2 linked regions of the Elephas maximus indicus genome follow. The protein of the gene in region 1 purifies or fractionates together with the protein of each later gene. This does not show direct contact. Links are inferred from orthologs where the notes say so. Each region holds a gene or a part of one and is shown on either strand. Other genes may lie near its edges.

The links. The genes of interacting proteins can lie anywhere in the genome.
Region 2: the proteins of VDAC1 (region 1) and ATP5F1C fractionate together in Homo sapiens (co-fractionation; 3 studies listed by BioGRID, with this or other methods). This does not show direct contact. The link is inferred for Elephas maximus indicus from reciprocal best matches to the Homo sapiens genes VDAC1 and ATP5F1C.

The regions. Positions count from the first base shown.
Region 1 is NC_064820.1:146,391,123-146,398,256, forward strand, and holds the start of VDAC1 (voltage-dependent anion-selective channel protein 1), read right to left. Parts: upstream 3,031-7,134; 5' UTR 2,922-3,030; intron 1-2,921. UniProt on the Homo sapiens protein: Non-selective voltage-gated ion channel that mediates the transport of anions and cations through the mitochondrion outer membrane and plasma membrane.
Region 2 is NC_064822.1:50,562,034-50,569,035, reverse strand, and holds the start of ATP5F1C (ATP synthase subunit gamma, mitochondrial), read left to right. Parts: upstream 1-3,993; 5' UTR 3,994-4,050; coding exon 4,051-4,106; exon of another isoform or gene 4,107-4,163; intron 4,164-4,877; exon of another isoform or gene 4,878-5,101; intron 5,102-7,002. Other genes in the region: KIN (DNA/RNA-binding protein KIN17), read right to left, coding at 3,660-3,773.

The DNA of each region.
Region 1 (7,134 bases):
TGGATTCAATGTCACCGAACACATGCCAAGCCCCCAGGACGGTGCTGATCAGGCCCTTAATAAAGAATTGCTAAGATGATGATGATCACACATTTATACTGGGAAAGTGAGGCACCAGAAAGTGGCTTGACTTGTATTAGACCCTACAGCTCATGTCACCTGTGTTCTGAGCCCAGACTGCTTTCCAGGTCTCTTCCCAGCCCTATTCTAGGTAAAGGGCTTAGAATCCTATTCATCCCTACACACACCCCCCCTGACTGTGCCAGGCTCAGTATCTCACTGGTCACCTTTCCTTGGCAGCTACCACAGGAATCTCTGGGGAACCAAAGGCCATGGACCATAGACCCTGTGGGCACCCAGAAGGACTGTCGGAGGTTGGGCTATGGAAGGCTCTCAGCATAGATATTCCCCTCCCAGTCACTATCAACAAAGACTTTGTTGTTGTTGGTTGCCGTCAAGCCGATTCTGACGCATTATACCATGGGATATTCCATCAAGGGTAAAGTGGACTTCAGTGCCTCTGCAGCACTGAATGAGCGGTTAGCGCCTTCATCGCCACCAGCCTGGAGCTCCTCATCCACATCTGCCCAGTGTCCAGCAGACCAAAGGCCCACGGGCACCTCCTCACCATATGGTCCCCAAGTCCTGAGCTCCAGGTTTCTGATCTGTAAAATATGTCTATAAATGGCTCCCCACCCTAACTCCCATTCTAGAACTGCAGAGATAAAACTAAATAATCAACTGAGAACAGCTCCCTCTCCCAGTGGGGTCAGGCATAGGCTTCACCCAGGGCACCTCCAGCAGAAGCCATCAACCCACCCACTCACGCACCACTACAGAGGGAGGGATGCCAGTTCAAGGCCTTTCAGAGAATCCCAATTCACCCATGTCACCCTCCTCTCAAGCCCAGAAACACCAGTTCAACAAGTTTCTGGACTTGGACAGTCACAGAATGAAGATAATGCACTTCAAGCAGTTATTTCAAAATAGGAAATACAGTAAAACCTGCGAAAGCTGGAACTTGTGTAAGGCAGAAACCTATCAAAAAAGAAAAATGCAAATATTTTCCACTAAAATGAGCAATAGAAAGGTGTTAAGCCTATACCCTGTCAAAGGCAGAAAACTTGTGAGACCTGGAAAAACATGGCAGTTCTGGCTCTCACAGGTTTCACTGTGATTTTTGCCTCTCACGGCTCCAAGGCTGTATGTACATACCATTGTAGATCTTTAAATCTTTGAGACTCTGCTAAGTGAGGCCATTTTCTGGAAGTGAGTGAGATGTGTGTCGCCCAAAAAACGATGTCCAAGATCCGGGACTATGGTCTGGGCCTGCAGTCACTACCTATGCCCATTCAATCATTCCACACCTGAGCACCTACTATGTGCCAGATGCCTGAATAATAAAACTAACCTTTTGTCAATAACAGTGAGTCAACTCTTAGAAAAAAAAGCAATAGTGCACTTACCCCCACAGATCCTTCTCAAGCACCTACTGTCTGCCAGGTGCCACTGCAGGCCCTAAGAACAAGGCTGCACCAGGTCGAAGCCTGACCCCCCCAGGAGCTCAGTCAGACCAGAGCTGGAGTGGAGAGAAAGAAGGCAGGCCCTGGGGAGTCAGCCCTGGCCTAGGAAAGAGCAGAAATCTTGGCAAAGGAAGAGCCCATTTCCCTATCCTCTCTGGAGAGGGGAGGCTGGTCAAGAAGATGGGGCCATGGGGTGCAGCCGGGTCTCCCCCTGCATTCAAACTTCCTGCCCCAGCCTGACTTTATCAGTCTGTAAACTTACAAGATTTTTTGTGAATTATCCTTAAAGTTACTCAATGCTTTGCACACAAACGGTTATTAATAATACCTCCATAATGTTTAAAATAACAGGGACTACATTTTCTGAGCCCTTTGGAGAACACCACGTGGAGGAAAGCGCTCTGAGGAGGATGGACTTGATCTTCCCCAAAAGTCTGAAGCTGGTTAAGTTTCATGGTTTTTACCGAGGCCTTCTTGGAGTCTGGCAAGGTTCTGAAGGTTTTACAACTTAATCATCTCACTTTATTCTTCCCAAAATCCCCAAGAAGGAGAGGTATAGCTGCTCCCATTTTACAGATAAGAAGACTTAGGCTTGGTTTCTTCCCAGTTGTGTGACCTTGCACAACTCACTTATGCTGCGGGCCTCAAACCCAAAGTCGAGCTCCTAGTTCCCTGCATGCACACAGCCGTGTTCGGTGAATGAATGAGTGACCGAACCAGAAATCCCTTCTAAGGCCTCAGGGGCCACAACGATCCCCGCACAGCCTCCTCTTCTGAGGCCTAAACCCGAGTCCAGCCCCTGAGGCCTAAATCGACTCTCCGGCACCCGTTCCGCCCGGGGAGGCGCTGGCCCGCGCGTACTGCCGGGTGGCAGCTCCTTCGGGCGTGGACTGGGCAGAGCGTGCGGGGCGCGGGGCCGCAGTCACCACCTGCGGCTCATCCCTGCGGCGGCAGTGTGGCCCGCACAGGGCCGCGGGTCTGGCCCGGGCAGCGTGGGCGGCGGCGGGCGTGCCCCAGCCCGAGCAGGGCTGTCAGAATCGTGGGCCAGAGGGCGTCAAGGAAGGTCACCTAGACCCGCTGCTGGCCGGGGCTCCACGCGGCTGCCCGTGCCCTTCCGCCCGCATGTCCGGGCGGCTTTCGTTCCTAGCCGCAGGCGCCTCTGGATCCCCGGCCTCCCGCTCCCCGCCCGGGCCCACTCGGCACCCGCCCGTGCGGCCTGCTCCGTCCGCGGCTGACCCGCCAGGCCCGAGCGGACCGCTCCCTCTCCCTCCCTCAGGCCGGGCTCGGGGGCCCCTCGCCCTCGCCCGCTCCTCCTCCCACGTCCTCCCTCTCAGCTACCCAGGGGCCCGGTCGGCGGCATGGGGCGCAGGCAGAGACTGCCCTTCCCACTGCGCCTACCTCAGAGGCGGCAGCAGCGGGTTCAGTGGTGACTACGGCGGGGGCTGCGGCGCAGACGAACCCAGCGAGCGGCGGACCGGGGGCGGAGGCAGCGCGGACGGCGGCGGCGCGGACCCGCCCCCGCCCTGCGCTCCCAGTCGGGCGAGCTCCGCCCAGGGCCCGCCCCGGACACCGCCCAGGGCCCTGCTCCGGGCCACTCCGGTTCGCACCAGGCGCGCTGACCCTTCTAGGCTCTTAAGCGCCCTGAGCGGCCGAGTGTGCTCGCGGTCGTGTGCGTGTGTGTGTGAGGGGGAGTGCCTGCGTGCGCACGAGCACGGGGCGACAGCGAGGGGTGGGACTGACGTGCGCACGGATCTGTGCCTGCGCAGGGACACGCCTGGCGGCCCCGCAAGGGCTAGTCATTGCTGGAACCTCCGTCAGGGTAGAAGCGTTCGGGGAGGGGGGTCTGGTTAGCTGAACGGTGCCGAGGGGACCCCGCGCTAATACAAGATTCTCAGGCTACTGGGCCTCCCTCTCGGCCTCGGGGCTGGGAGACCACCGGGAGTTGATGTAGCGGATGGTGCTGAAACAGGGCCTAGCCTGGGTGGGCGAGGTGGCTCTCAGGCCACGGGGTATTACAGCCGGCTGCGAGCCCCTGGAGACAGTTGTAGGCGGGGCTGGGGAACTGGGAACCGGAGGTGGCGTGGATACAGAGTAGCGGCCCGGACTGTTGCTCCTCTGCGCTGCTGACACAATGCTTCCGGCGTCTGGGTCCCGCTTGCACAAGGCGCGGGATTGGCAGAGCCTTGCGCTAGTAGGAACGATCACGGAGAAAACTCCCCTCTGCGCCGAATTTGCACTGCAAATTAGCACTTTTCCGCTATAGCAAAGCTGCTCGCAAGCCTTTTCCGAGAAGTAAAAAACGTTGCGTTTTGCAAGAACGTCCCCAGCTGGGTATCACCACGCGCCGAAGTAAACGGTGATTCCGGCCTGCCAGTCGAGCGCATCGCGGGCAGCCCGCTTACAGCCCCGGGCCTGGCCCTGCACCGCGGCTCTCGGTTCATGTGTGTGGTGGGGCCATCGCTGTCCTCGCTAAGCTGTGAACGCGTGATGACTCAAGCTGCTCATCTAGTTCACCACCGAGTGTCCCCGGCGTCCTGCGGGAGGCCTACCGGGAGCAGGCTTCGAGAATTAACGGATTCACGCTGAATGCAGAGTCTGCGGGCCATGCGCTTAGGCCAACAAACGTCCCCGAAGGCGGAAGGTGTTGGGCTACAGAGCCAGCTGCGGAACAAGCGAAAGGAGTAGGCAACTGGAGCAGGCAGCAGATTAAATGGAAAAGTGGCAACTGGCAACTCGGGTTAGAAGTGGCAGGGTGTTGAGGAAGAAGAGAACTCATAAAGGGCAGCCCAGAGAATGTAGACAGGGCTCACACGAAGGCAGCAGTTCACTCTCTGAGAGGAGAGGGGAGGGCGGAGAAAGACACTGAGTCACCTACCCCGTGCAGTGAGGCAGAGTTTGGGAGGAAAGGGCCTCAGAGAGGCAGGGCAAAACCAGGTGGCTTCGCGCACACGGGCTAGGAGCGGATGCTCTACTGTTGGAATCTCAACTTTACTAGAATTGTGACTCATTGACTCCTCCCCACCACAGCCCGAAGGAGGGAGGAGGTGAAGGCAGTCTTTTACACCAGGTAATAACCTCCATCCCCTTCAGCCCCTCCCCCACAACTGATGGAGCTGAGGGTAGGCATCTGACCCAAACCCAGCCAATCAGTTCCTCTCTTGCAAATTTAACTAAAAAACCCAGAGCCTTGTGGGACTCTCTAGTCATTTGGCCTAATTATGTTTTTAGAGTTGCTGTTCTACTCCCTAGTTCAGTGAGTACTGCAGCCATCCAAGATACAACAATTGGTCTGTATCTGCCAGGAGCAGCAAAGGAAAGAGACCCAGGAATCAGAGAAGGAGCTGGATTGCAGATCTAACTGCCTCCATGAACTACTGCCCCTTAGCCATGAGATCAGAACTGGATAGTGCTTGGCTACCATTACTGAATGTTTTGATCATGGAATCAATAGATGAATCCTGATCAAAAGGGGGAAAATGTGGAACAGAATTTTAAATTCTTACAGAATCCAGACTTACTGGACCTATTGAGACTGGAACAACCCCCAAATCTATCACTCTAAGAAAATCTTCAAACCATGAACTGAAATTGTCCCCTGAAGACATCTTTACATAGCTAAATTAGTAAAGAATGTTCTACATGAGCATTGTGCTCTTTTAAAGAATTATGTATATGAGATCAAATCGTCAACAGTGGCTCTAAAGCAAAGATGAGAAGTTTATGCAATAGAGTCTAAAGTTAGTGGTGGTGAAACAGTACGGGTAGAGATAACAAGAATGGTGACGCAATGTGAAGAATATAACCAATGTTATTGAACTGTACATGTAGAAACTGATGGATGTCCTGCTGTGTATATTTTCACCAAAACAAAAACAAAAAACCCAGAGCCTAAGTGAGACAGAGGGTCTTGGAGCCCTTGGGTCTCTCAGGTAGACCTGGGTCTGATGGTCATGTTGAGTCTTGAGAAGTTAAAGAGACCATTGTACAGAGCACCTGGGCAGGGCGGCTGCAGGCCCCTGTTTCATGAGCTGCTATTACTCTTCCTGCGCTTGGGTTTCCTTGGGCCATTTAAATAACCACCCCCCTTGAGCTTGATCCAGCAAGAGTGGGCCCCTGAGGAAGACCCTGGATTCCTGGTGAGTGGGAAAAGGGGATTTGTGGGAATAGAACAGTCTCGACAGCAGTTTTTCTTTAGGAGAATGATCTCTCTTCCCCTCCTTTCAGTTGATTTGCTTTTTTGGAGCTGACTCCATCTCTGGACCATCCCTTTGGACCAAGAAACCAACTGAGACTTTTCCTGGAGCTGTTGAGAGAGACTGAGACTTCCCCTAAGAATGAAGCCAGCCCATAAAAGAGAGACAGAGACCAGGTCCTAGGGACATCATGCTCCTGGATCTAGCTATGCCTGAGGCTACCTCCTGTGATTCCCAGCTCTCTGAGCCAATAAAGTCCCTTTTTGCTTAGTCCAGTTTGGACTGGGTTTTCTTCCAGGTCCTAACTCAGTACTTCCCTTTCCTTCAAGCAGAACATACAGGGAAACCCTGATTGTGTAGTGGTTAAGTGCTACAGCTGCTAACCTAAAAGTTGGCCGTTCGAATCCACCAGATGCTCCTTGGAAACTCTATGGGGCAGTTCTACTCTGTCCTATAGGGTCGCTATGAGTCGGAATCGACTCGATGGCAATGGGTTACAGGTAGAATGTATAGTATCCAGGACAGATTAGGTTTTTCTTTTTAATATTGGAATAGTGGTTAAGCACTCAGCTACTAACCAAAAAGTCAACAGTTCAAACCCACCAGCCACTATGTGGGAGAATGACGTGGCAGTCTGCTTCTGTAAAGATTACGGCCTCGGAAACCCTATGGGGCAGTTCTACTCTGTCCTATAGGGTTGCTATAAGTTGGAATCGACTTGATGGCAATGGTCTTTTTTTTTAACAAGTGTAAGAATATTTTATTTTAGGGAACTTCTTTCTTATATCTAACTTACAGCCATAGGGCTTCTACTTAAGATATTTACCAGCATGGAAAGCAGTCACTCACCCTTCTAAAAACCTATATTGAAACACTTTTCTTTTCAAGGCCAGATGTCCCTGTACCTCAAAGTGACTTATTAGCATTGCTTTTGCCAAATACTTGAAGATGAAGTCCATGAAGGTAGAAATGGAAGATACAACTTATACAAATTATTTTAAAGGGAAAAAGTATTCTACTTTTAACCAGCATCAATTACCTTGATTACAAAACTGAATTATCATAAAATCTAACCTTTTCTAACCATTTCCCAATGAACTCATCAGATTTGAGTCTGGGTAGGAGGAATTAGGATTGAGAATTGGTGGTCAAGTGTCTCAGGTCACACTCACATCACTGTACCCTGACCCTCATCATCCAGGCGAGGACACACGCAGGCCTCCTCTCCAGTGATATGGAGAAGAATAATCAATTGAGAAAGGAGCCCTGGTGGCACAGTGATTAAGCAGTTGGCTGCTAACCAAAAGGCTGGATGTTTAAACCCACCAGCTGCTATGTGGGAGAAAGATGTGGCAGTCTGCTTCTATAAAGATTACAGATTTGGAAACCCTATGGGGCAGTTTTACTCTGTCACATGT
Region 2 (7,002 bases), on another chromosome or scaffold:
AATTTCTTTAGGGAAAGGATTTCACTCTTTCCTCTGCTTCAGCTCATTTTTTCAAAATACATGGTTGCATATTACACAAACCTTGTATTAAACGTATTAAATTTGTACCTTCTTCAGATGATTTTAAGAAAAAAAATGCAAGCTTTTACTTAGTATCTTCTACTTAATATTTGATTTCATTCTTCACTAGTAAGGATTCCTGGGTGGCACGAGTGGTTTGCATTCTACTGGTACAGTGGTAAAGAGCTGGGCTGCTAATCAAAAGGTCGACAGTTTGAATCCACCACTCACTCCTTGGAAACCCCATGGGGCAGGCCTACTCTGTCCTATAGGGTTGCTATGAGTCGGAATCCACTCGACAGCAATGGGTTTGGTTTTCTGGTTTACTAAAGGCTGGTGGTTCGAACCCACCCAACAGCCCCACAGAAGAAATGCCTGGTGATCGGCTTCCATAAAAATTACAGCCAAGAAAACTCTACGGAACGGTTCTACTCTGTAACACCTGGGTTGCCATGAGTCAGAACTGACTTGACACAATGGGTTTGGTTTTTGTTTTCTTCACTAGTAATATAAATGAAAAATGTGCCTCTCCATCTGTATTCCCTCTCTCAATTAACAGCACTAACATATGCCCAATTCCTCACCCAAGCCAGACATCAGTATGGTCAGAGTAGATTCCTTCTTCTCCACATTAAATTTAGCACTAAATCTATGCTGCCTTCTTAGTAACTCTTATCCAATCCCTCTGTTCAATCCCATAGCCTCTGACCTGATTTCAACATCATATCTTGCTTAGTTTCCAAAGCTTCAGTCACCCAACAATAATTAACACAATTTTTGCCTCGTCTGTGCACTGTGAGAGTCATACTTACTTCTTAAATTTATCTTAAGAGAAAACTTACTATCAGTCTCATAAATAAAAAGCCAGGGTAATACTCCATACATTAAAAAAATTCAATAAAATGAAAACAAAATGCCATTAAATTCTAGAATTAATGTTATTAAACTTTGAAACCCAAGGGAGTTGGGAAGGGAAGGGGAAGAACACCTTGGCTCTACTCTTCCTCCCCCTAAATCTTCCACTACTATGGGATATAGAAGATAGGGGAGGGAGCCTGTCGGGGCCAACTTGCCTTCCCCCAGGTTGTCATCAAGGGTAGAAAATGGCAATGACTAGTTCTAAGGGCATATAGGCCCAAAACCACAACAAGAACCTTACTCTGAAAGTTGGTAACTAAAGGAAGAATTATGCATCTAGCCTGCCTTTTCCATAGGACTGTATTTCGGGATAACATTATAAAGATAACCAAATATCACCTAAAACACAATATAAGTAAATAAATAAAGTTAACCAAATAGCCCTACAACCAAAACCAAACCAAACTCCTTGCTGTTGAGTAGATTCCCTAGTTGATGAGAAACTCATTTCACAAAAGAACATCAGCTAGTAATGAATGTACAAAGAATAATGGAATTAGAAAAATAATTATTCCTAACGAAATAAGTGACTTAGGCATGGATACTAAAAAAAAAAAAAAAAGTACAGCCGTCCAGTCAATTCCGACTCATAGCAACCCTGTAGGACAGAGTAGAAGTGCCCCATAGGGTTTCCAAGGCTGTAAATCCTAAGAGAAGCAGAATACCACATCACTCTCCTGCAGAGTGGCTGGTGGGTTCCAACCGCCAACCTTTTGGTCAGCAGCTGAGTGCTTTAACCACTGTACCACCAGGGCTCCTTAAGGATGCTAAAACACATATGTATATATAGAGTTGACGGCAAACTAGATATATTGGCATGATTCCAAAGTATTACCCCACTAATACTTGCTCTCACAAGGAGGAAACCATTACTTTATAACATTAAAGACTGTCATCTTTACTCTATAATCTTAGCACTATGAGACGTTATGGACTTCTTTATATGATTCATTATGGAATACACAGGATTATCCATGAAATATTCTTCCCCAAAGTGTTTAACTTGAATCTAATCAAGCCTTCAGATTTAAGTTCCAATTTACAGGAACTATAGGAAACCCTGGTGGCATAGTGGTTAAATGCTACGGCTGCTAATGAAAAGGTGGGCAGTTCGAATCTGCTAGGTGCTCCTTGGAAGCTCTATGGGGCAGTTCTACTCTGTCCTACAGAGGAGCTACGAGTCAGAATCGACTCGACTGCAGTGGGTGTGTTTTTTTTTTCTTTCTTTTTCATAGGAAACCCTGGTGGCATAATGGTTAAGAGTTATGGCTGCTAACCAAAAAGTCAGCAGTTCGAATCCACCAGGTGCTCCTTGGAAACCATATGGGGCAGTTCTACTCTGTCCTATAGGGTTGCTATGAGTTGGAACCAACTCGACGGCATTGGCTTTGGTTTTGGGTTTTGGTATGACAATAATAACCAAAATTGATTTGTGGCTTTTGATTGGATACTGTTGTTGTCAGGTGCCATGGAGTCGGTTCCAACTCATAGTGACCCTATGTACAACAGAACAATCGGATATTAGTTTTTTTGGGGAAAAAAACAACTTTAAAAAATATTTGAGAGGCAACTGAGGAAATATAAATATGGAATGTGTATTAGATTATATAAAGGAATTTCTATTAATTTTGTTCTGTACGATGACATATGGTGGTTACGTAGAAAAAATTCCTGCTATTTTAGAGATGTATAGTTAAGTATTTGGAGCCCTGGTGGTGCACTGGTTAAGAGCTATGGCTGCTATCCAAGAAGTCGGCAGTTGAAATCCACCAGTTGCTCCTGGAAACCCTAGGGGCAGTTCTACTCTGTCCTATAGGGTCGCTATGAGTCAGAATCGACGTGATGGCAACAGGCCTGGGGTATACTTAAGTATTTAGAGGTGAAATATCCTGATATTTGTAACTTATATACTTTAAAACATTACAGAGATAAGGAAATATATTTAAAATGTTAAATCTGAGTAATGGATATATGGATACTCATTATACTAGTTTCTGTTTTCTGTGACAATTTAATCTTGATTTAAATAGTTAGAACTAAAGAGAAACAAAAGTGAATAGAATAGAAAACGGGCAAAGAGAATTTAAGTAACTTGCCCAAGATCACGCAGCTAGTAAGGGGCGCAGCTAGACAGTTTGACTCTTAACCACAATATTATCCTGGGCTTGGTACACTGTAGGTGCTCAATAAACGCTTGTTAAATAAGTAGCATGGAAGAGTTTAGTGTTCCTTTTTCACCTAATCACGAAAAGAGGTGTGAATCCCAAATACTCTGTTTCTCTTAAGAGCCATGTCAAGTCAGAATTGTTATCGCCAGAACGTCTGGCACTGCACTATTCACACTCTGGTTTTAAGACAGCTTGAGTAAGATCGCTTCCTCGAGAACTGCAAAACCTTTTCCTATTTCTTTTTGGAGTGGATTGGGGAGGAATAAGGTGTCAAAGACCACTGGTTTCCTGGTGGGACTGGGGGCTGAAAGAAAGGATGGCTCTACTAAGTACCTGACTCGCCCTATGCAGACTCCAGAAACACCGTCTTCCGGAGCTGCCTGACTGGGTATCTGAAATCCATCCCCTTAACGCCCAGAGTCCGGGACTTGAACCCAGTTTTCCAGAGAAGCCCTCCTTGTGCGAAGACAGGGCGTGGGCACTGGGAAGATGGAGCCATCCGGGCCCTCTTACCTCATCCCGGCACTGTTTCTGGCACATCTGACAATACCAGCGAAGCTTCTGAAGCCCCTTGGATTTGATCCTGTTGGAGATGGCCTTGGGGGTAAGAAAATCCGACTTCCCCATCGCGACGACACACACAGTAACTTTTAAGCCCAGAGCCTAACCAACCGGAAGCGGAACGGACTGGCGGAAGTGGGCGGGAGAAACAGTGAAGGTAGCTGAGCGACGGAAGGAGGTGGGCGCTTAAAAGGCTGGCTACCAAAGCTCGCGAGTTTTCCCTCCGTCTGGCGGGAGGAAGCGAGACTGAAGGAGAAAGGGAGATTGGGGGCGGCCACTTGGGAAGCTTCCGCGCACGCGTAGTGAGTCTGTTTGACCGACCTTCAGTAAAGCCGGTACCGCCATGTTCTCTCGGGCTACCCTCGTTGGGGTCTCGGCCTGGGCTTTGCAGCCGCAATGGTATGACAGCTTGCGGTAGGAACGGGAGAATTAGGATGGATGGAAGAGCTCGGTCAGGTGGGAAGAAGGCATTGGAGGCGTGTAGGACGGGCCAGGGGGCTCAGGTCTGGACTAGGCCTCCTTTTTGCTGCAGAGGCCCGGCGAAACTGGGGCTGCAGGAAGCGCTTTAGAACGGGGAAGGGCGCGCGGAGAGGCTGGACACGGCGAGTCAGTGCAAGGTCACGCCAAGTCTCCTGAGGCTTGTCGGGGCGGGGTGACGGGCAAAAGGAGTGGTAATCTTGGATCTCGGGATGGAGACTTTAGTCTAAAGTAATTTCAGGACGTTCTTGAATTCATTCATCTAAGAAATGATTATTGAGTGCTACTACTTGCCAGGCAACTAGTATCGTAGAGTCCTTAGCAAAGCTCACAAGGTAGAGGTAGGGCATAACTGAGAAAAAGCCTAGGGGCAGTTGTGCTTTATGTCCTTGACGCCTTTTGAAACCTCCCAGTGCTGGGCAGAGTTTGAAGTGCGCCAGTGCAGAGCAACAAAACCAAACCAACCCTGTTGCCCTCGAGTCGATTCCGACTCATAACGACCCTGTAGGACAGGGTAGAATTCCCCCATAGGGCTTCCAAGGAGCGGCTGGTGGATTCGTAGTGCTAACCTTTTGTTTAGCAGCCGAGCTCTTAACCGCTCTGCGACCAGTGCTCCAATACAGAGCACAGTAAACCTCTTAAGTTCCATTCAGCCAGAATATTTATTAAGCGCCTACTGTTTGTATTTACTAGACGTTCTGATGGGCACTGAAGAAACGAAGGTGAATTGAAAAAATGCAGTCATGGGCTGATGGTAGTTTTGATGCAGAAGGGACCTTAAAGATCTGTCTGTGCAAGGAGAAGGGAAGGACACCTCGTACTATCATGAAACCATTATGCTGCAGTAGTGACCCTGCAAGGTCATGAAATTGCCCCAAAGAGCAGGAGATAGATGCCATCTGTTAACTGCCATGCAGGTAAAGGGTGCAACAAGTTTGAAGGATTTTAAAGATTGGTTTGAGGAATTTCTGACATAGTACTAAAGGAATTATTACCTATAGGCGTGTCATAGCAATTCCTTGGTTTTATAGTATGGGAGATTTGTAAGGAACTAAATTAGGTTTTCGTGAAAGCATTAATTGAAATAGATACATTTTTCATTAAGCAAAGAATTCATAACAATATATAAGACTTTCAGAGGAATGAGGTAATTAAATCTAAAGTGAAATAGCTACATAAAATTTTTGGTGGACTTCCATTGGAAGTCAAATTTTTTTTTTCTAAACTTGAAACAGAATTATGGGAATCAAGTCACTGTAGCTGAGTTCTTAGGTGTTTAGGTTGTCCTGTTTGTTAGTCACTCAGCAGACAGTTGTTGAGTGCCTGGTCTGCATCAAGTTGCACTGTGATAAGCCCTAAAATGTGATGATGAACAAATAGCCATAGTCTCACTGAGTTTCGTGGTACTTGAGAGCATAATTTCTGGCACACAGTGGTGCTCAACAGACGTCAACTGTCCTCTCATTTTGCTGTGCACCAATGTTATCTGTCACAGTACTTTTAGAACTTTCAGTAGCACCCAAGTTGATCTTTAAAAAGCGGAAAGTTTTCGCAGCCAGCACAAAATATTTTACATCAAATTTTAGAAATAAAAAAATGAACACCTCTAAAACAATTTGAAGTTCTTTTAATAAAAGATTGTTTTAAATGAGAGTGCTAATCTGAGACAACTACTACTAGGGGCCTAAGTTGGAACCTCAGTCAGCAAATAAAAGTCATAGTCTTGACCTTAATCCCTTTAGAACGTCAGTTTTAAATTGGAACGTTGGTGCTCCGGTATGCTAAGCATAGCCTTTCCACTTCCTTTCTGGGTTGATATCTGGTTGCTCTGTCCTGTGTTCTAGTCTTGGGTTGTCCTCTTCCTTGTCACGTAATTCCATCATTCTTGGTGCCTAATGTGTTTCCTGCCTCTTCCACCGTTTCTCTGCCTGTTAATATTTTTTAAACTCGGAAATTAAAACCATCTTAATGTTTCACACTCCACAGAACTAAGTTGGCGAGGGGTATAAAAACCTTTGCCTTTACAGATCCCTGAGAAGGCATTTCCTCAGTTTTGTTTAGATTACTGAACATTTTTTTCCTTTTTTAATTTTTACTGTCTTTAAGTGAAACTTTACAAATCAAGTCAGTCTCATATAAAAATTTATATACACCTTGCTATGTACTCTGGTTGCTATCCCCCTAATGAGACAGCACACTCTTTCTCTCCAGCCCCTATTTCTGTGTCCATTCAGCCAGCTTCTGTCCCCCCTGCCTTCTCATCTCCCCTCCAGACAGGAGCTGCCCACATAGCCTCATGTGTCTACTTGATCCAAGAAGCTCAGTCCTCACCAGTATCATTTTCTGTCCTATAGTCTAGTCCAGTTCCTCTCTGAAGAGTTGGCTTTGGGAATGGTTCCTGTCTTTGGCTAACAGAAGGTCTGGGGACCATGACCTCCTGGGTCCTTCTAGTCTCAGTCAGACCATTAAGTCTGGGCTTTTTACAAGAATTCGAGGTCTGCATCCCACTGCTCTCCTGCTCCTTCAGAGTTTCTCTGTTGTGTTCCCTGTCAGGGCAGACATCAGTTGTAGCCGGGCATTATCTAGTTCTTCTGGTCTCAGGCTGATGGAATCTCTGGTTTATATGGCCCTTTCTGTCTCTTGGGCTCGTAATTACCTTGTGTCTTTGGCGTTCTTCATTCTTCTTTGCTCCAGGTGGGTTGAAAACAATTGATGCGTCTTAGATGGCCGCTTGCTAGCGTTTAAAGCCCCAGACACCACTCTCCCAAGTAGGATGCAGAATGTTTTCTTAATAGATTTTATTATGCCAGTTGACCTA